Linked DNA regions of Bombyx mori. The main gene of each other region encodes a partner of the protein of the gene in region 2 in a complex. Links are inferred from orthologs where the notes say so. Each region holds a gene or a part of one and is shown on either strand. Other genes may lie near its edges.

Region 1 (11,532 bases), on a different chromosome or scaffold from region 2:
GTCTACTTAGTGCGAGTTTTTCAACTTCTCGATTGCGTAAAAGTTAACTCATATTTGTATGGAGTTGGAACAACGCCCCTAGCGGCAAACGAAGGGAAGCTGTTCCTATTCCATACAAATTTCGTAGTACACGGTTCGCCGTAGGCACTAGTTGAGTTTTTTTTTTTTTTTTTTCCCACAGGAGAAAATCGCCGGATCCCCACCCGCGCGGCAGGTGGGGTATGTGGGAGTTGAACCTCACTAAAAACTCCTGCCGCTCACAACCGGCGCCCTACCTCGGACCGGGCCGGAGCCCAGTCGGGGCTATTGAAACGGCGGGACAGGGTTGACGCAGAGCACATTACATCCATCCCACCGTCCCACGGACGCCGGACCGGTGGCCGCCAGCGACACGACCACCGGTTCCCTCGTTCAGCGGGCCGAGAGCCCGCTTTGATGGCGCCGCGTTACACCTTCCCCCAGAGCGGTCGGGGGAACGCGGTCTGCCATCACCCGGCTTCCTATTGCGGGTGAGCGTGCAAGCACGCCACCCCACGTCTGGGTCTCTCCCCACACAAAACGGGTGGGACCCCTAGCTCTTAGGGGGCCAGGTCACGGATACGACCCCGGTCCCGACCCCCTGCTCGGCGGCGGCGGGTTTCTGCGTAGTGAGGAGAGCTTTCCCTCACTCGCCCCGCCGAGGCGCTAGTTGAGTTGCCTTGTTTTCTACTCTCGTATCGAAAATTTACATATAGAACACGGCCCTGGGCTGTCTTGTTGCCGGCCAAGTAAGGACCCTAGCTTTTGATAACTTCGAAGACCGGCAGTTGAGGTAAGCACTATGATTCATGTCTCGATTAAAGATAGTTTCCATCGTAATAGGAGATGGACAGGTCGGTTTTGCTCAAGGCGGTCATAGGTTTGCTTACTCATTCACCTGATATGGCCTCGCTGTGTTGCTGAACGAAGTAAGAAATGTGAAAAATATAACATACTCAATTACTCATTAGTTTACTCGAAGAAATTAATTCGAATGCATGCCCGTACTTTAAGTAACCTAACCTTTAATTTATAAATATTTTAAATAATAATTATGATTATTATTTTAAATACTAAATTATTATTTTTAGTTTAAATAAATGTACTAATAGAGCAGGTAGGTACTTTTGAAGTCATAATAGTTAGTAATAGTACTTTGATTCATTGAAATGAACTTCAGTCATTACTGAACATAAACAGAATATTTTTTGCAATTCATTAATGTTGCAGAATCTATGTAAATAATAAGCGCAAAAGAAACATAACTAACTATTCATCTGTTATCACCAATTAAAATGTGGTATCTTCTTTCGTTTATTGAAAGTGAAAAAATGTGTGTGAACTCAGTGACAGTTCAGTTCAATGACAGTGTTCGCGTGCATTCTTTAAGGAAGGTAGCTAGCTTCGACCTTTGATTAGCTAAAAGATTATGACGATTAACAATGGAACCTTAATCTAATATTAATCTATCGTTTAGATATGTTATATCTAGGTATGCTAGTTATAGCTAAAAAAAGGAACATATTATACACTGTAGGATAATTTAGTTTTTTATTTTAAATTTAAATATTCGATAGAGAGGAACGTAGCCCATACAGCCCCCAAGTCTTCTGTTTTAAAGCCAAAAACAATTAACGGTATTATCTAAGGCCAAAGAATCGGCTCGTATTATTATTATTGTTTATTAATATTTATTTAAAATCTTATTAATTACATAATATTTTTTAAAAAAGATATTAATAATACAATTTTTTAAAAACACTATATAAAAATAGATTGCCGCTGATGGCGGTGTCTACGACACAAGCCACCAGTGGTTAGGACTCCAGAGTGAGAAGCCTCCTCACAATGCGTGCAGTATCGAGGATAACTGCTTTCTGTATTTGGCCCTTAACCCAGCTGGATAACGAAAGTTTTTTAAGATGTTGATCGAAACTTTTCGCTATCAAGCCGTGTACCGATACAACTATTGGAACAATGATGGTTGAATCAACATGCCATATGGCGGTAGTCTCGTGGGCCAGGTCTAAATTTTTTATTAATTTGTCCTTTTCTGCCTTCACGAGGTTCTCGTCATGAGGAATGGTGACATCAACCAACACTGCTCGACGTGCAGATCGATCTATTATCACAATATCAGGTTTATTGGCAACAATATACCTATCCGTGATAATAGATCGGTCCCAGTAGAGCGTAACATGACCATTATCAAGAACTGGTTGAGGTTGGTATTGGTAATAAGGTACAGCAGAATCAAGAAAACCATATTTCAGAGCAAGTTGTTGATGGATAATCCTAGCCACTTGGTTATGTCTATGCAAGTACTCGCCGTTAGCAAACCGAGAACATCCAGAAACAATATGTCTAATAGACTCTCCCGGACGGTGGCATGCCCGACAAATGTCGACCGTCCCATCCTTTAATATAATATATTTCCGGTAGTTGTTCGTCATGATAACTTCGTCCATAATTGCAAAGATAAAACCTTCAGTTTCCCCAAAGAGGTTACTGAATCGTAACCAGGCCACGGAAGCTAATTGGTCTACATCAGGCCCTGTGAGAGCCCGGTAGAACCTACCGTGTAACTCCTTGCTCCTCCATACGGTTATGCGATCTAAAATACTCTTATTATTATTATTATTATTTGGTATCTAAACATACCTATCTCACACCATGTTTATTTAATGAAAAATTAAATGGAACTAATTATGAAAAGAAATTTAACTTGGATTAAAACTGAAGAATTTTTTTATAAATTATATAAAATATACAGATCAAATAAAATAATTCATAAAACTTACATCCCGAATTCCTGCCAAAGGTCTGCTAAATTAGATATTTTATTTCATTTTTCATTTTTTATTTGGGTTATACAATTACGTATGAAATGTAAATAAAACTACTTTTATTGTCTTTAGCGAATAATTGAATTTTTTCAAGTCTTAATAGTTGGCGCTACTGCAAAACATGCTGTCTGTGGCGGGTAGCCATCATACAACGCAAGATGATTGACGGATGCCTGAATCTCGCTTACGACATTTTCAAGATAAGGCAGAGCTCGAAACTTAGGCATCCGCCACAGAAAGCATGCTTTGCAGTAGGGCCAACTATTACTGTAGATATACGATAAAGGGAAGATCTTCCACCGAGCGGGTGATAATTGCTCTGTAGACCGACGGTCCGAATGTTGTTGTTCGGAACTTGTATATAAGCAAGCTGATCTTGAAAATGTCGTAAGCGAGATTCAGGCATCCGTCAATCATCTTGCGTTGTATGATGGCTACCCGCCACACTGTCAAACTGCAGTTTCGTGTATCCACTTAATCGCAATCGCGATGTGCCTTTTAATTTTTTTTATTTTTTATTGCTGAGATGTGTGGACGAGCTCACAGCCCACCTGGTGTTAAGTGGTTACTGGAGCCCATAGACATCTATAACGTAAATGCGCCACACACCTAAAATATTGTCCTCTGTATGAGAGCCTACTGCTATAATCCAATTGATCCAGCTCAATCCAGACACCAGAATCTTGCAAAGTTATAATACACTTAACAGATCTTAGTTACTCATTGATTTTCTTGTGTGATACATTTTATGAAACCATTTTAAATGATTTTATAGACACACCCCACCCCTAAGTTTGTTGCCAATCTTTCCTGTAACATCCTTAATAGTTAATTGTCTCCACGACTTGCGAAAGCTAAAGGAACAAAGCCCATAAAACATCTTTTTTATTTTATTTATAAAAGCCAAATTGTTTACATGAAATTTCTTTTTGGTTATAAAACATCAAAAATCTTTCGACAAAAATCAGTTCGGGATTTTTTTTTTCTAAAGGTTCATTGAACACTCAGTACATTCTCAGAATTTTAGCGAAAAATTACTTCACTTCATTTTGTCCACACTTACGGTGTTGTCATAAACTCACCTCTAAATTGAAGTTCATTTAACTTTCACAACACCTTCGACCTTGGTGGCAAAAATTGGAATATATGAGCTATGTTCCCTTTGCTTATCCATAAGGCCAATCAAACAAAAAAAGCATACTAAAGCATAGATTAAACACTTATTTTTTAGAAAGCATAGACAAAGCTCATAATAATTCATACATTTCATACTGTAGTGTGTAAAGTTGTTTTAAAATAAATTTCTTCAATTTAACACAATATTTAAGAGTATGTAAATCTTTTTTTGTAAATATAGGCATATTCCGTTTTTATTAAGTGTTTGCTAGAATCGTACGTACGGATTCCCGGTTCACAATGTCAGAGACAGCTCAAGTTAGCTCTTTACCTCTGCCTCCAATGCAATATATAAATTTTTACACGGATGAAAATGTTAGAAGAAATAGAGCTCCTCTACCACCTCGACCTATTCATGATTCTTATTCAATGTTTGGTAATTCTTTTAACGCTGATGATGCTATTATACGTTCGTTAGAAAGCCAGGTAAGTCCTAAAACAACTAGTTTACAAACACAAATGTTTATGTAAATAATTCGTTGTAAAAAATTCCTTCAGGGATTTCGAAGATTGTATCCTATGCATTTTGAACGAAGAAGAGAATTGAAGAAACTTAACCATTCACTGCTGGCAAATTTTCTGGATTTGTTGGATTTGCTTGTTCATTGTCCAGATTCTCCAAAGAGAGCAGAAAAAGTAGAAGACCTAAGTTTGTTATTTATTCATATACATCATCTTCTAAATGAATTTAGGCCACACCAAGCAAGAGAAACATTGAGAGTAATGATGGAATTGCAGAAAAGACAGAGGGTTGAAACTGCAGCAAGGTACTATTAATAGCGTTAATTTGTCATATGTTGGTGTTTCTACTATATCTATACTGGACACCAAGGAACCATTCTAGAAAATAAAGATAGATCTCAGATCACAAATGACAAAATAAAAAAGATGCCAACATAAATATTTAAGTTATGTTTTTGCCACACACATGATATAACCATTAAGTGTGTGACTTATCCTTTATTATTTTAGGCTTTAACATTATAATATGATCTTTAATTGGGTGGTAATGTGAAAGTCTGATTTAAATTTCACTGGTTGGATTTTCACTGGTTGGAAACATTAGGTGCCACTAGTGATTAGACATTTTTATCTGTTACCACAGTACCTTCATGATTGAGATTCCCAGACATTTTGCCCATCAATGTTATGTTAATTTATTTATAATTAGTAGAACCTGAATAAATTTATTGTGTTTAATCTTACCATAGGCTGTTAAACACAAAGTCATATTAAGTTCTCCCAATGTTTGATATTGAAGCAGAATAATGAAAATCAGATTTGTAATGAGTTTAATTTTTTTTTATTTTTATTGCTTAGGTGGGTGGATGAGCTCACAGCCCACCTGGTGTTAAGTGGTTACTGGAGCCCATAGACATCTACAAAGCAAATGCGCCACACACCCTGAGTTATAGTTCTAAGGTGTCTCAGTATAGTCACAACGGCTTCCCCACCCTTCAGACCGAAACGCATTACTGCTTCACGGCAGAAATAGGCGGGGTGGTGGTACCCACCCGTGCGGACTCACAAGAGGTCCTACCACCACCAGTAAAAAACCTTAAACTTGTCTCAATAAAAAAATTTTAGTATTCATAATGTCATATCATCTTTTTCAAACCAAAATCTGCCCTCTGCACTTTTTAGAGATTTCCAAATTTGAACTGTTTTGAGTAATATACAAAAATATTTTAATATAAAAAAAAAGAAATTAGCAGATATTGTTTACTGATACTACGAGGGCGGCACTGAAAATTTCGGGAATTAACGAAGTGACGAAGTTACTATTTAAAAATGTATTTATTGCTTATCGAAGTATTCTCCGCGAAATTTGACACATTTTTCCATACGATGGAACCAATCATTGAAGCAACCATTCCATTCGGAAGTTGGGGTCTCCAAAATGGCCGTTTTGTAGGCGTCTACAGCTTCTTCAGGTGATGAAAATCTCTGTCCACGCAATTTATTCTTTATTTTAGGGAAAGTATAGAAATCATTAGGGCTTAGGTCGGGGCTGTACGGCGGATGGTCTAATAATTCTATGTTTTCTTGCTCTAAAAACTCTTTTGTTCTGTGCGCGGTGTGAGAACTCGCATTGTCGTGATGGAGGATGATGCGGCGGTTGCAGTTCTCTTTACGGAGTTCAGAAACGACCTGTGGCAAACAAATGCTAGCATACCATTCTGCATTAACCGTTCTTTGTCCCTCAAGAGGAATAGTCGTAACATGGCCGGTTTTGGAGACAAACGTGGCCACCATTTTTTTTGCAACACTCCGTGAACGAACAATTTTTGTTGGCTTTAACTCATTTTCGAACACCCAAACTCGTGACTGGTTTTTTGTTTCGGGTTCGTACGCGTATATCCAGGATTCGTCACCTGATACAATGTTGTATACAGCATTTGAGGATCCTGCGTGGAATCTTTCGAGAGTTCTGACGCACCAAGTAACGCGAGCCGCTTTTTGCTCTTCACAGAGCGAATGCGGTATCCATCGGGAAAACAACTTTTTTACACCTAATTGTTCATGCAAGATTATTTGTATTTGACTCATGCCAATGTCTAAAGTTGCCTGAATTTCGCGGTATGTCACATGTCGATCTTCCTCAATCAGCTTACGCACAGCATCAACGTTTTCTTGGGTGACTGCAGTTTTTGGACGACCTTGAAGGGAATCATCACTGAGCTTGACACGTCCACGTTGAAACTCAGCAAACCAGCGATAAATTGTGGTTTTGGATGGGGCTTCATCACCAAATACAGAAATCATCCGGTCAACACACTGTTTTTGTGTTAAACCACTTCGAAAGTCATAATAAATCATCGCTCTTGAATTTTCTCGAGTCAATTCCATTTTCTCAACGACTAAACAAGTTTGACAAAACCTCGTGACAAGACCGAGAATCTTTTTTAAAATAAATAAATGGTATTCGATTTTTAAAACCAAGGAGTTTTCAATTAAAAAGATTTTAATATGACAGGAACAGTAGAAATATTCCATTCCCGATACTTTTAGTGCAGCCTAGTATATTATAACACAAGATTGAACTCGAAAATTATTTGTTGTTTATCGTCGTGTTTTTGTGGATGGACAGCTGTTACCTTACAAGTTAAATTTCCATTCGGACCATTGTTGCTTGACTTTGGTTTAATGTGTGAATTCTCTGAAGCAAAAAATAGACAAGATGCTGGTATCCATGGAACCTAATCCAGTTATAAGAGCTAATAAAGTCTGTTCTTTCAGATTCAAGAAACACTTAGACAAGGTACAGGATATTTTACAGAATGCTCTCCAAAGCTTACCAGATCAAAATGAATTGGAATCAAATTTCAAAGTGCCAAATGAATTGTTGGACCAAATGGAAAATAATACTTGCAATATTCAAAAGGCTGATCCCTGCTTTGAATTAGATAGAATTATGTGCAATGTAGTTGATAATATGAGATAGTATTTATGTGAATTATGGCTGACTGCTAAAATCCATTACTCAATAAACAACTCCAATACTTAGGATTTAGATTTATGTGAGGCAATTGTACTAACAATTATTATATTAAAAGTATTGTAACCATCTACCTCAGTGTATTAATGACTCCAGATTGTAGTAGCCACTATGGGACAGTGGTTCCGGAAGTGGCGCATTGACATCAATCCCACGAAAAGCACAGCGATGCTCTCCAAAAGGGATCGCCCTCCGAATACCACTTCGAGCAACCCACTCCCTAATAGGCGGGTTAACGCCTCCGCCGTTAGCCCCATCACTCTGGCCAGCCCATACCGTGGGCCTCGAAGGTCAAATATCTAAGCGTCACCTCGACAGGGATGACATTCCGACCCCATATCAAAACGGTACGCGACCCTGCCGCCTTCATATTAGGACGCCTCTATCACATGATTTGCAAGCGAAGTAAATTGTCCCTTCGTAATAAGGTGACACTACAAAACTTGCATACGCCCCGTCGTGACCTATGCAAGCGTAGTGTTCGGTCACGCGGCCCGCACCAACTTGAAACCCCTTCAAGTCATTCAAACCCGTTTTTGTAAGATAGCCATCGGAGCACCATGGTTCTTAAGGAATATGGATCTCCATGATGATGTGAAGCTTGACTCGGTCAGTATTTACATTCTTTTTTTTTTTTTATTGCCTTTGTAGGCAGACAGACATACGGACCACCTGATGGTGAGTGGTTACCGTCGCCCATGGACTTCAGCAATGCCAGGGGCAGAGCCAAGCCGCTGCCTACCGCTTAATACTCTCCATAAGCCTCGTTTGAAGAAGGACATGTCATAGCGCTCGGGAAACACCGTGGAGGGGAGCTCATTCCATAGCCGGATTCCATTCGGCATCATTGCGCCACTTTGAGAAGGTGGCATCATTGCGCCACTTTGAGAAGGCGGCACAACACAAAAACACACTTGTCCCACACGGAAATTATATAACCGATCCTGTGGACCAAATGGTATACAGTTGACGTCGCCCTAAACACGTCATTACGGATCCTCCCGATCCATTAACGGTGCTTTTAGGTACCTCAAGCACCGGTCACCGTCCTCGCTTGCGACGAAGGACTACGAGTAAAGTAACCCAAATACACAGCTCACTGAATTTTTCGCCGGATCTTCTCAGTGGGTCGCGTTTCCGATCCGGTGGTAGATTCTGCGAAGCACTGCTCTTGCTAGGACCAGTGTTAGCAACACTCCGGTTTGAGCCTCGTGAGCTCACCCACACGTCAAGGAGAATCTGAAATAGCCTCTCAAGGCTATCAGCATAGGTAGAGTAAAAAAAAGTGTATTAACTTTCAAGTCAATCTTGCTAATTATTATTACGTTCATAGGTTTCCCCTTTCTCAGTTCAGTCTGTCGACAGAGCCGGTAGAACTGTAGGTATATACGGGCTTTTGGCCAAGTCATATACGGTAGCTATGAGTCAATATACTAGTTTTTATTACGTGTAGTACCTAAGTTTGGTTTTCTTCAAGCTGCAGGAACTTTGTTACTATTCTGCATGTTTAATTATAATAATTATTATTATCTTATTATTAATTCTTATTATCTTATTTATTTTACCTTACAGTATGTATGAACATATTGTGATTTCATTTAAAATAATTTCCTATACCATAAATAGTAAAACCTATATAATAAAACCTATGTAACCAGTAGATTCGCAATGGGACCACTACAATAGGACTTCAATGTATTGAAAATTAGAATCATCATCTAAAAATCAATGAGTGCACATTTTAGGGCCTTATCATACTTATTATACTCGTGCGATCATTCTTAAAGCGGAGCGGGCGCGCAACGTACACGCCGCGCATGCGCAGCGTAGACGTCATTTTGTACTGTCTACTGTCTCCTAAAAACGCATGGAGTTAATAAGTAGGTACCTAAAATACTAACTCTATGTAAAAACGCCAACCAGTCCGGCCTGCCTCACTTCAATCCGTGTGTCTTCATGTCATAGTAAATTTGTATCAGATACATCAACTCAAAAAAATGTAGTTCTTAACATTCGTAGGTAGAAGCGAAACTGTTTTGGATTATTTTTTATTCGTTTGCCAAAAAACACAAAGCAGTCGCTCTCTTCCATTCGATTAATTGATAATGGATCCTCCAATTCGTCGATGCTTTCGTTTTCGCCTTCGAAGTAACAAAACCGTTACTGAGTGTATTGTACGTCGTTAACTCGCTACAAATACGCGATAAAAACGTTGCGTATTCGCCAGGCTCAAGTAAAAAAAAACACAGGGTATTAAATACTTTCTGAGAACTCCCCCAATCATAGTAAAGGATAGGTTTACTTTTAAATGATGTCATCGGAATGAAAGGTTACAAGAAGAAAGATAAATTATACCAAATATTGATTATACAGTCGCGTTCGATCCGCAGGCGAGAACGGTCACGCCACACCAAAAATCGTTGAGTTAAATAGTGTTTTTACCAAATTGTGAATATAAAATCAGTTTTTAGTGATAAAAATCAGTGTTATACACCGTTGGATGCGCGCTAAAATTCCGCATCTATTACCATTTCTGGTGAAAAATTTGGACTTAAATCAAGCGAAAAAATAAGAAAAAACTGCTAAAAATCAAAATTTGAAGTGTTAAAAATTCATAAAAATGGCAACTTTGTAGTGAAAACATAGTGAAAAGTGTCTTTCGGTGCGCGCTCGAAAGCTCTTCTTAAAGGGGATTGCCCACTCTCCATAGTGTGCTAGGCCCAAGATGGACATCAAATATTACTATAAAAATGTACTGATTCAAATTCTTAAATGTATTGGATATCTAAAAAATATATTGAAATTGACGCCACTATTATAAAAAATATAATAAAAATAAAAACTCGTTTTGAAGTTAATTTTCTATATAAATAAGTGTCGGATTGTGAGATACTTCAAGAACTTTTCTTTTCTTAATGTTTAAGATGTATTTTTATCCAATAGGGTATAAAAACACACTTAATTCTTTAAATATCTATATTTTCTTCATCTTCATACACAATTAGTATCGTCTAAAAATAGCAAAGGAGAGCATATACACGGTTTTAAATCTCGGTCAGGGTAAAACCACAATTCACACAATGTTTTTTAGTCGTAGTATGAAACGTTATTGATAAAAGTAAAATAAATCGAAGAAAAATCAAAACAGATCCATTTTGTACGCAAGCACAACACCACAAGCAGCAAGCGAAGTGTCAGTCAGTCAGATTAAATTCAGTGTTGTCAGTATAAAGAAAAATAATTACATGAAATTCATATATCGATTATTTTTTTAAATAACCGATAATTGATTTATATCTTAATCTTTTTTGAAGTGAAACTTCTTTATCGGCGTTGGAAAAAAATTTACCGTCACATTTTTCGGTTACGCGTCACATTTTTCCGTTACGCGCCATCTTTTTCTTCACCATTCATTGTTGCCGTACACAAGTGAAGGTGCCTCTTTACTCGGTAACAATAATTATAAAATACCGATGATTTTAAGTGGAGATTTTAATGTAAATTTTGCATCGGAAAATTCTTTGAAGCTAGTTGAATTTCTGAAAGATAAATTGAATTTATCCATGAAAAACAGTCCTCAAACGTCAACAACAAGATCTGGCACTACAATTGATGGAGTTTTTACTCGGTCACTAAATTTCGTGGAATGTAAACCATATATTTCATATTTCAGTTACCATAAGCCATTAATTACAAAAATATATAATGACAATGACAATGATAGTAATAATTCTATTACAATTAATGAAATGCTGTAATAATCTTAGTAGCAAAAAGGTAAAGTGAAATAATTGTATTATTTGTATTCATGTCTATGATAATAAAATCCTTTTGTTTAAACTTTATCTAATTTAACTTTATTTAACCAATTTCTAGAAAGTTGCATGTAGATCATTTTTCGAAAAATAAGGCCATAAACAAGTTTCACTTCTTACGTGTGTACACTAGTACACGCACACATTTTTTTTACGAGTACACATTATTTTTTATGTT
Region 2 (11,326 bases):
AACATTAGGTGGCGGTTACACTCTTCACAATTTACGATGACCTTCGAATTACGATTCAAAGTTGACTGTTAAAAGGCGCGAGAGAGGTGAAAAATAACTGATATATTCTATATATTTTGTAATTATTTTTTTCGTATTTCCATAATGTTTTAATTATTCAGCAGTCAATCTAGTAAATCGTAATTTAAATGAACCTCACCTGTAGAGCTTTTCTCATACCGAACGCGATAGAACTGCAATATAAGGTCTGGTAAGCTTCCATAGTGATTCGTGCCTCATCCCGCACCCTCAGCAGAAGTAGTCCTCTTTCCCCACAGTTTATCGTTACCTTCGAAATGAAAATTCAAGCCTACTTTCAATAACAAAAACACGATTTCTTTGGATTATTTCAACGTATTTTGAAATGTATATTAAGAAGAGATTCTTAAGAAAATTTCACGCTATTTGAAAGAAACTACCTGTCTGATAAGTTCATCAAAACATTGGGTGTACAATTGTCTTCGAACTGGACATATACCGGTTTCTCTGGCTTGTCTCTGCTGCAGACGAGTATCGAGCATTTCTTGCAGGTTTATCACGTCCAAACGGGTCGCCGGAGTAGAAGAAATCTACAATATAACGGTAACAAATGAACTTTAATATTTTTATCCATTTAATTAGTGAATACTCCGTTCTTGGTGGTACTGGTTGTAGGACCTCTTGTGAGTCCGCACGGGTAGGTACCACCGCCCTGACCATTTCTGCCGTGAAGCAGTAATGCGTTTCGGTTTGAAAGGTTGTATAAGTAGATCTTAGAACTTATAAGAATATTATATTTATTATTATATTTAAAAAACTCTCCACGAGACAGGCAGTGCCTAGTGTGGAGAGTTTTTAGCAAACTGTTATGTGTAAATGTATCAAGGTTAATAAATAAATTATTATTATTATTATTATATATTTTAGTTATATCTCAAGGTGGGTGGCGCATTTACGTTATAGATGTGTATGGGCTCCAGTAACCACTTAACACTAGGTGGGCTGTGAGCTCGCCAACCATCTAAAAACTAAACCTCAGAACCATTGAAACGTTCTACAAACGATCATTAAGTGTTTTCTGTGTAGCGCCCTTTCTGTCTTCTTGGCGTGCCCGGGGCCTACTGGTGGTATCAACAGTTTACCATAAATTGGGCCGTCAAGTTCAAGTCTGTCTGTCTTTATTTTACAGCTGCAAATTGTAGTACCTTTTGTGTCCATATTTGTCCATCTTCCTCCCATTCTTTCGGGGGTAAAATAGCATTTAAGATCTCTTCAGTTTCTTTCTTTGCTTCGGTGGGTACGCACGGTTGTGTTGAAGCGCCAGCTCTCGGGGAAGGCTGTGTAAAACATTTTTATTATAAAATGAACATTATTTTTTTATTAACGAAGATCCTTTGATAAATCAAAAATCTTACAACTTTTTCCTGTCTTTTAGTCACCAACACTGGGTTGTCGTAACGGACTAACGTCTCTTCTGCAGATACCGGTGCCCGTTCTCCCATTTCCGTTTGTTTTTGTTGCAAAATACCTATTTGACTTTTTGAGAAGTCACGGTTATCGTGGCAGTAATCAAATTAAAACGTAGTGATTCTAAAATTCTCTCTGACAAATTGTCAAGCAAAATGTTATTTCCATAGCAACGGCTCTTAGCATCTGCCTAGTATTTTATACTTTTTTAATAATCTTTATAACCTACTAGTACTGGTGGTAGGACTCTTGTGAGTCCGCGCGGGTGTGTACCACCACCCTGCCTATTTCTGCCGTGAAGCAGTAATGCGTTTCGGTTTGAAGGCTGGGGCAGCCGTTGTAACTATACGTAGATCTTAGAGCTTAAATCACAAGGCGGGTGGCGCATTTATGTTGTTGATGTCTATGGGCTCCAGTAACCACTTAACACCAGGTGGGCTGTGAGCTCGTCCACCCACCTAAGCAATAAAAAAACCTAGTAACCTTACGTTTCCCTAGTAAAAAGTGTATCTTATTTAATGTGATATAAGTATAAAAACTGCTATATTATGGACGACTGCATCGGTCTTCCAAACGAAGATGTACATACCTACGTTATCAATGCTTGCGCGGATGACATTGTGGGGTATTTATTTTAAAAAACCTACGTCCTTAGCGATAGCTAGGCCATAGATAAGACATTTAAAATGGGAGCTACTCTTCTCAAAGCACTTGTTGGCCATAGAATAGACTACAGCGAAGCTTGATATTATCAGGTCGACATAAGTGTCAATTTAATTTGTGTACATGTACGTGTTGGTGATAATAGAAATGAAACGGTTAATGACTTAGAATGAGCTCTGAAAAAGTAATCATAGCAATTAGGCTGCGAACCGTGTATCCAAATTACAACGAAGATCGTTCATAGTACACTGAGGGACTGCGAAACCAAATTTACCATGGAATGCAATACACATTACATGAACTTTCTGGTTGAAACGAATATAGATAAAGCCATAAGTTTTTGAAAGTCAGCTTAGACATTCACTTAGGCCACCACCAAGATATTTTCATAAAATCGAACATTGCGAGTTAACGAGCTATCAGGAATACCTAGTAATTTTTTTTATTGCTTAGTTGGATGACGAGCTCACAGCCCACCTGATGTTAAGTGGTTACTAGAGCCCATAGACATCAACAACGTAAATGCGCCACCCACCTTGTGATATAAGTCATATAAGTTCTAAGATCTACGTATAGTTACAACGGCTGCCCCACCTTTCAAACCGAAACGCATTACTGCTTCACGGCAGAAATACGCAGGGTGGTGGTACCTACCCGCGCGGACTCACAAGAGGACCTTCCACCAGTAATAAAATAAATGTTAAAGTACTAAATCCTAGGGGCAATAGTATCCGGACTAAGTTGTCTTAAAGCTCCAAACACTTATACAACTCCTATGAGTAGTATTAGTTGTAATATATTCCGGTGCTATCGGGCCTCGTGATCGTTGATATATTTTACCTACCCATTCGTTGGTAGCCTAAGGGGCTATTCCAGGAACGCGCGGACGTGTATGAGTTCACTGGCTCCACCTGAGAGAGTTTGCCAACACTGGCCCTGGCAAGAGCAATGTTTCGTTAAAACCTACAGGATCAGAATCGCAACCCACTGAGAAGAACTGACGAGAAACTGTTTGGGTTATGTCAACAGGCTAGTTCGCACTTCCAACTCTTAATCGCAGAGTTCGCGTGCATAGATATCGAAAAATAAATTTGGAGGTTAAATTTTTGTTCAAATATAACAAAACGATTATGTGGAATAAATTTTTTTATTATGTCATTTCTATGAGGATATTTAAATAACATTTGAATTAATTCTACAAATATTTTTTTCATAATAAACACAAGCATCAGTCTTTTTAACTTGTTGAGTTGCACTACACTTTTAATCAAAATGAAGTCCACGGTTTTTCTGTATTCATTGTGAATCACTACTTGAACTTGAACTGGAGTCTGTGGACATAACTTCAACATCTTCTTGGTTGGGAGCATCCTTCCCTCGGCCATCAATAGCTACAGAGTTACCGCCTCCAACAGACATGTGTAGCTCGCCTGATGGATGCCAAGTGAATTGGCTTGAAGCTGAAGCTGGTACTGAAATAATATAACACAGTAAACCTGATTAACAAGCAAATGGTTTTACATGTTTTTTTTACCTAATGCAATTAACAAAAGGGTAAAATGTTTCTGTAAAATTCTGATGATAAGAATATTCTTAAATAATTTCCATGGGTTATGGGTTTTGAAGGAAGCCTCTGTTGACAATATTAATAAAAAGAGGTGGCAATAACATAGGAGATTTTTTTTATTCTTTACAAATCCTATAGAAATTTGATCATTAATTCAACTTTCCTGAAAAATATTATTCTTGTATATTTGAGTTTAATACAGTGGTCCAAAACATGATATATCTGCCAAAGCACTTGCTGAGTAGTTTAGGTGTTTGGTGTTCCCTATCACCCACTTCTCTCATAGCTATTAATAACTATGATAATACATGCTTATTGTAGATGAATCAAATTAACTATAACGATAAAGTACCAATACTAGAATTGTATAAATATGTACTGCACAAAGAGTTCTATACATATGCAACTTGTTCTAAGAATGATTCATTAATATAATGAGTAATGCATTTATACCTCCACCAGTTGTTATACGATGAAGTTCATTCAGTGTAGAAGGCGTGTGACCATTCAATGGCAGATCACAGAGGCGACCGAGCATTCCTAATCTCATTTCTAAATCAGTTGGATAAGGCCGACGAGGATCACCAGGTTGCCACGACAAAGGTGCGCTGACAGCATTAGATGCACTTATTCTGTAAAATATCAGTAAGTCAAAAAAAGTTTTTTTAAGTACTATTTAGTTCTCACATCAAAAATAGTGTACTGTCTAATATTTAAAAATTCTTTTTAATGTAATTTAATTAAAGTGTAACTCTATAGTTATGAAAGAAACTGTTTTCTGTAGATAGTTATTTTCATAACATTGTTGGCTATTCAGACACAATACCTAATATCCATTCAGACTTTTTGCATTAATAAACTTAATCAACTGTTAATATACTAAACATCTCATTGATTTATTTGTTAGTCAATGTGCCTACTATCATTGTCTCACTGTTGTCATTGGTCAGGTTTGAAATCTCTGTTGAGATCATAAATATTTAATATTCAATATTTAGGAGTACTCATCATGTGTTTTAAGGACCTGACTCAGAAAAAATATTTAATTTCAATGTAGAAATCTTTAATTGTTTACTAACCTGTGTGCAAATTTGATCAACTCCTCAGAGGGTACAGGTCTCTTTCTAGACTTCACTATTGATGCAAGTTTCTGTCGAGCTTGATACAGTGATGTAGCCAGAATTTGTTCTGCATCTTTCAATTGTCTTTGAAGGTGATATATATCTTGATCCTTAGTAACACAACAAAAACATTTCAATTACATAATTCGCTTGTGGCTTAAATTGTTGTGAACTAGCAGTGGATGAGTCAGTCCACTCCAAAATTTTATCCATTTTTTACTTAAAATAAATCTCTTTTGTAGTATTTACCTTACTATCTACTTCAGCTTTGAGTTCATTCATTTTCTGTTGGATCTTTGCTTGTTCGTCAGCTAGGTCTAATGTTTTTTTCAATTCTCCATGTTTTGATAGAAGTAGGTCCGTCAACTGAGCATGATCTGCAGCGGACACTTTCTGTGGTTTTGGTGCTATGGAAACTTCTATTATTTCCCTGAAAATTTAAAGAATTAGAACATGAAGTTGATCGGTAATGTTTTCCACAGTTCAATCGTGTTTTAACTCACTTAGCAATAAGTTCGATATCATCTATTAGTGCCAATAAGCGATCTTTAGTACTTAAATGTGACGCCATAGCTCTATATAGCTTAACAGCTTTTTTTAATATAAACGATATGTATTATTTCCTTATATCATATGAACTGGACAAACGACCCCCCAACGCTGCGACTCTTGGGATTTCTTGTATCAAAAACGCTACTATGTACGTGGTAACTACATTCAATGTTTACAGTAAAAATAATAACATTGTTTGATGTTTCCAATACAGCAGACGACAAACGTGAAAGTCATAGACTATGTTCCACAGCAAGCACAGACTAATAATTAGTAGAGCCTTGAAATATTTTTCTCTATGATATAGAGAAACTTATTCTCGTACTTTTACAGTTTTTCTAGTTTTAAAGTGAGTTTCAGTATAATTTATATCTACAAACTTTGTTTTATAAGGCCGTAGCCTATTTACGTTATAAGAAATAAAATAAAATTTACTACTGGTAACGAGATGAGATGATTTACTTTTTCTTATGAAGATGGGTGAATGACCTCAAGGCCTATTAGTAGTTACCGGAGCTTAAAGACATCACAAAGTGATTGCTGCCCCCAACTTTAACTTCACTTTTCTATTTTACACTATAAAGTGTGTTCCACCCTTTAAATCAGAATGCATGATTACTTGGCGGCAGAAATACACAGTACGCTGGTACCTACCCATGTAGAGTATTGTAGAGTCTAGTTATTATGATATGATCTCTCAGTAAAATCGTGTTTATTTCCTGAGACGTTAATTGAAAGACTCCGAAAAACCACATGTAGCGATTTCGTTTCATTTTTCTACCCGTTGTGCACTTTCATGAATTTGAACATCGTTTGGTCATCATTCATCGTTCTCGTTGAACCCATCGCTTGCGACGAAGGCTCGGCTAGTAAAATAACCCACAAATAAAGCCCACTGAATTTCTCGCCGGATCTTTTCAGTGGGTCGCGTTTCCGATCCCGTGGTAGATTCTGCAAAGTATTGCTCTTGCTAGGGTTAGTGTTAGCAACGTCGTCAGGTTAGATCCCCGTGAGCTCACCTACTTAATAAGTTACACTGACATAGCTCTCAAGCTTAGATAAAAAAAAACCATTTCACAGGTTCAGAATATTTGTCAGAAGAAATACAATATTGGTGTAATAAAAATATTCTCAAAATAAAGGACATCTGATTCCATCAAAATTATTGAAACACTGCACAAAAAAAATTATTCTATTAATTATTAGACTTGCGAATACTGAAAAAGGATTGAAAGATTGTGATATTGATTGTTATGGTTTATTTATAATTCGTAATTATTGGCGGTATAGCGTAGGTTGTAGATACGTATCTACGACCAAGCTTCCTATTATTGCCACCTACCAGTTATTCGTTTCGGTATAAAGGGCAAGATAATAGACAAAACAGTTGAGACTTCGAATCCTTAATTCAATCAAAATGGATGGTTACTTACACGCTGTGATGCTCATATTATATCTTCCGATAATCAGTCAATACGGAGTTAAAGAATGGTGTTGTTAGGATGTCTTGTGAGTCCGCACGGGTAGGTACCACCATCCTGCCTATTGCTACCGTGAAGCAGTAATGCGCTTCGGTTTGAAGGGTGTGGCTGACGTTATACTGTTAAAACTGAGACCTTCAAACTCATGTCTCAAGGTGGGTGGTGGCATTTACGTTGTACATATCTATAGACTCCGGTAACCACTTAACACCGAGTGGGGCGTAAAGCTCGTCCAACCATCTAAGCAATAAAAAAAATATGTTAGATTGCATTTCACGAACTTGCAATAGGAGAACTTACAATGCAAAAGCAGACTTGCCTTGCACTCTCTCGAGATCATAAATTTCGGGCTTCAGTTGATTTATTGCTAGAGCTCCGTACAAAAAAATTTGCTAAAATTCATAAAAATAGATTCTCATTTTTAGTGCTATTGTGTTAGGAATTACTATCAATAACACCTGTCTTTATTTTCCCAACCGGTTCCAATACTCCTTACTTAATAAAGTTATTAATTATCCTTTACTTCATTTAAGAATATGTCAAATAAATACTCGTAATCATAACAGGGTTTATTTAGGAGTTTAAACCTCGCATAAGTGTTTTTATAAAAAATTGTACTACCGTTTGATTTAAACATTTGATTTTGGTACAGTTAGCAATAGACAGAAGGGTCTAAATACCGTCTATGCAAATATAAACTTAGTGGCAATCGGAAGTAATTTGAACCAACCTGGCTAAACTATTTTTTTTATCGATCCTCCGTAGTATTTGTATGCTCATGACAGATTCATGTATAGCCCATTGAATTTGTTTCATTCGAACTTACTTTCAATGTAGCTTACGCAATAGATCTGTAGATGAATTCGACATAATACTTGAAATTATAATACAATATGTCAAAGAATTATATTATTATGTTGTTGTTTATGATGCATTTTAAAGAAACCTATGATTACACATCCTCGTATTAATTTATCAGTGTGCAAGTTAGCATTCGCAATTTCAAACCTGATGCAATTTCCAGTAAAACCTAATATTATGGTAAACAAAAGAACACTCTCTTGAATGCGTTTGCAAGTTCACAGAAACCGGCTTGAACACGCTGTGAACGCGTGATCAGCTGGTACAAGGGACGTGAGAGGGAGGAGGGGAAAGTTGCATTCGACGAAGCCTGAGGGGGGATTGAACACGCTATGAGCATGCGTACAGCACGTGCTCGTGGACATTTGTTAGTGTGCCATGGTAATTAAATATAAAGAAAATTAGAGTTTTACTGTACACATTGTAACGTGGATTGTGGTCATGAAAAGTTTTGTTTAAATGACAATAGTACAGAATTTGGTTCAAATTAAGAGTTTTGTCAGGTTTGGGAATATTATGGTCAGACTTATATTGAAATGAACGAAAACGTCAACAGTCATTAATTTCATATCAATGAGCTTGGACACCGACAACTAATTAAGCCCAAGCGGGTTGAAAGTTATTTTATCAACTTAGGGCAGGCCCACAGTAAAATTAAATGTATCACATATTATTAACACGGCAATAAAGACCCTATGAGCTGTAAAACCACAGTGTAAATTATATTAATATCAAGTGAACAAAATTCAAGAATCTTTAATTTCTATTTGTTTCGATGAATAGCAAGACAGATATTAAAGTATATTTATCATTATAAATTTAATTCATAAATACATCATTGAAACGAATAATAGTTTTTCTGATCTTTGAAAATTAATCATACCTTACTTACTGTATCATGATTAATCTGTGGCAAAGTTTCTATAGAATGGCGTCACACGGGGAATGAAGTGTGCGCGGGGAGGGAGAGCAGTACATTTGTGTAGCGAATAGCGATTCGATCGTCAGCTTGACTTCGAAGTGGAAGTACGTAACTGAGTAGTTCCAGTCCGAGTTTGGCAGTAGAGGTGAAATTGGCTCCTCTGCCAATCTAATGGAACAGCGCTTTTTTGAGCAAGTGTCGTCTGCGATCGTGTTAAACAAATCAAACATTCGCCATAAGCGCGACAATTGTCGTAAACAACAAATACTGTTACTACTATTATGTTGTTTAAACGGATCATTGAAGGAAAGTCCGTGTTGAATGCCGACACCAAGAATAAGGTTCCAGAGAGATGTTCTAGAAGAAAGTCGGAATGTGAAGGATGTGGTGAACATTCCACGTAAGTATACCTTCTTCATTAACGAAGATGGTATCTTAAGGTGTTATGAAATAGAATAATATTCAATTTCTATTTAATTTTACTTGAATTATTTATTAACCGGCGTACTCCGTTAGCAATGAAAATAAAATAGCACAGTTGAGAAGTAGGTAACTACGCTTCGCCTTATGCTCAAATTGGTCATCTACAACATTAAAATGCACAATTTAACTGCAAAAATGCATGAAATGTATTACAACACGCCTGCTATTTTTGGCCTCAACCATAATATTATTATAACGATCGGTGAATGTTCCTCGTGTTTTCTTATTTAAAAATGAATAATATTTGTACCTGATTTTTTACTGGGTGTATGAATTTTTGTAAGATATGGATTATACTTACCTAACTATATTTACCGTGAAGAAATCATGCGTTTTGGTTTCAAAGGTAGGTCAGCCGTTACACAATGAAATTTAAACTTCGACGATTAGGCATTGCTGTGTCCGTGGACTCTGGTGGTAACCATTTAACACCAGGTGGACCGTTCAATCCTCTATGCAATACAAAAAAACCTATGCAACTATATCTACGATATTGAGATTACGTTATATAAAATATTCTCACTACTATTTCGTAGTGCGCAAGGTCAAAAGGGAAAAAGATATTAACCTAATTACTAGTTTTGTAATACAGTAGGTACAAACAACATAACAATGTAGTGAGGAACGCGAGAATGTTATCATTATAATATTTCGTGAACTCAGTTAATGTTAGCATAACCAAAAGTAGCAAGTAGTTTTTTTCGTTTTTTAGACTGCATTATATTATACTTGTGTTCTACTGTTGTAGGCTAGAAAACCATTTAGTGAATAAAAACATAATTTAAAATTTACGCGGGAAAAATTACATTTAATAGAGTTTTATCTCAAAAGTTTTTTTTTTGTGATTAAAAAACGATGTGTTTGACAATATTTTAAACAAATGTAAACTCATTTCTGGTAATGTTAATTCAGTTTATGTTGTCCAAGCATTTATGAAATTAGCAAAATTATAATTTTTGATTGACTTCTTTGGCCCGCCTGATGGTGAGTGGTCGCCCATGAACGTCAGCAATACCAGGGTTACAGAAAAGAGGCCGTACACCCCATAGTACTCTTTTCGAATTTCATTTGAAGATCCTCAGTTTAGTTTAGAGTTAATGGTGCCCGGGAAAATATTATGTTTGGAATCGTATCGCGCAATGGTACCACGTACGGTCTTTGTACTAGTGAGGAATGGAGTATTAGTAAAATGGAGATGACGGGATATACAATTATTCACGCAGTTATTATATCTATAGAAAAAAAGTAAGAAATAAAAACATTAGTGGTTAAGTCGAAATAAATAAAAAATTAAGATTGGGCCAATCCAATGGGCTCCGTAATCAGAATGAAAATTCAAAGTTAAAATTCAAATTAAATCTGCATATTAACTTATTCAAAATATTTCTCGAATTTTTAAGCCGAATGTACAAAATTGTTGTGGGGCATAATGGGCTGCATGCAACTTTTGTCATGCAGTCATGTATTCAAAGGGCGGTAAAGCCATTGGACTTAAAAATTGAGTTTTCGACCTTTATGTCTAAATGCAGTAGGTAGTAATTGTTATAATGTCTAAAGGCTCTATAGCCCTGTGAGGATGGGCGTTTGTTCTGCCTATCTAAATTAAAAAAATAAGAAAAACTCCTACCCCTATCTTACTTCTTACCGCTAAGTAACGATTTGCACATTTACCCTTCATAAATATCTATAATCTCTAAGTGAAATGGCTTGTTTATGACCAGAAATGTTAATTCGAGAAAAAAATATACAGGTAATGCGTAACACGGAAACAAAAATACGAAGCTACAATAATATGTGTCTACGTAATACTCACATTCTTTGTCATAAAGGCATTGAATGTAAAATGTAGTATAAAAGTCACCAGAATAGTAAAATATTGTACATATTGCTAATTTTTGTGTCTGTAGAACACATATTATATTTCTATAGAAAGCTAATATTACATTTATAGCATTTAATCAAAGGTAAAATTGTAAAATCTAGTTAAATAGAAAAATCCCTAAGTTTTAGTTTTGTTTTTCACATTATTAATATGAGTAATAATCGACTTCCGTAAAATTAATGTGTGAACTTTTTGGTAAGAGTCAAATCGAGATTTTAATTCGGTCTCACACGTAGTTTAAAAGTATGTATATATTTTTTACTAAACACTTGAGCATTTGAAAACCAAGTTATATGCATGTTAAGCAGA

The links. Proteins that work in one complex are often made in the same cells at the same time.
Region 1: mediator of RNA polymerase II transcription subunit 4 (region 2) and mediator of RNA polymerase II transcription subunit 7 share a complex: the UniProt entries of both Homo sapiens proteins name them as parts of the mediator complex. The link is inferred for Bombyx mori from reciprocal best matches to the Homo sapiens genes MED4 and MED7.

Annotation. Positions count from the first base shown.
Region 1 is NC_085119.1:10,078,199-10,089,730, forward strand, and holds mediator of RNA polymerase II transcription subunit 7, read left to right. Parts: upstream 1-4,080; 5' UTR 4,081-4,280; coding exon 4,281-4,466; intron 4,467-4,538; coding exon 4,539-4,807; intron 4,808-7,280; coding exon 7,281-7,485; 3' UTR 7,486-7,612; downstream 7,613-11,532. UniProt on the Homo sapiens protein: Component of the Mediator complex, a coactivator involved in the regulated transcription of nearly all RNA polymerase II-dependent genes.
Region 2 is NC_085112.1:8,186,720-8,198,045, forward strand, and holds mediator of RNA polymerase II transcription subunit 4, read right to left. Parts: upstream 5,664-11,326; 5' UTR 5,408-5,663; coding exon 5,340-5,407; intron 5,267-5,339; coding exon 5,086-5,266; intron 4,947-5,085; coding exon 4,795-4,946; intron 4,348-4,794; coding exon 4,169-4,347; intron 3,621-4,168; coding exon 3,445-3,620; 3' UTR 3,277-3,444; downstream 1-3,276. Other genes in the region: putative inner dynein arm light chain, axonemal, read right to left, coding at 200-328, 459-608, 1,224-1,355, 1,434-1,520; peroxidase, read left to right, coding at 8,934-9,052. UniProt on the Homo sapiens protein: Component of the Mediator complex, a coactivator involved in the regulated transcription of nearly all RNA polymerase II-dependent genes.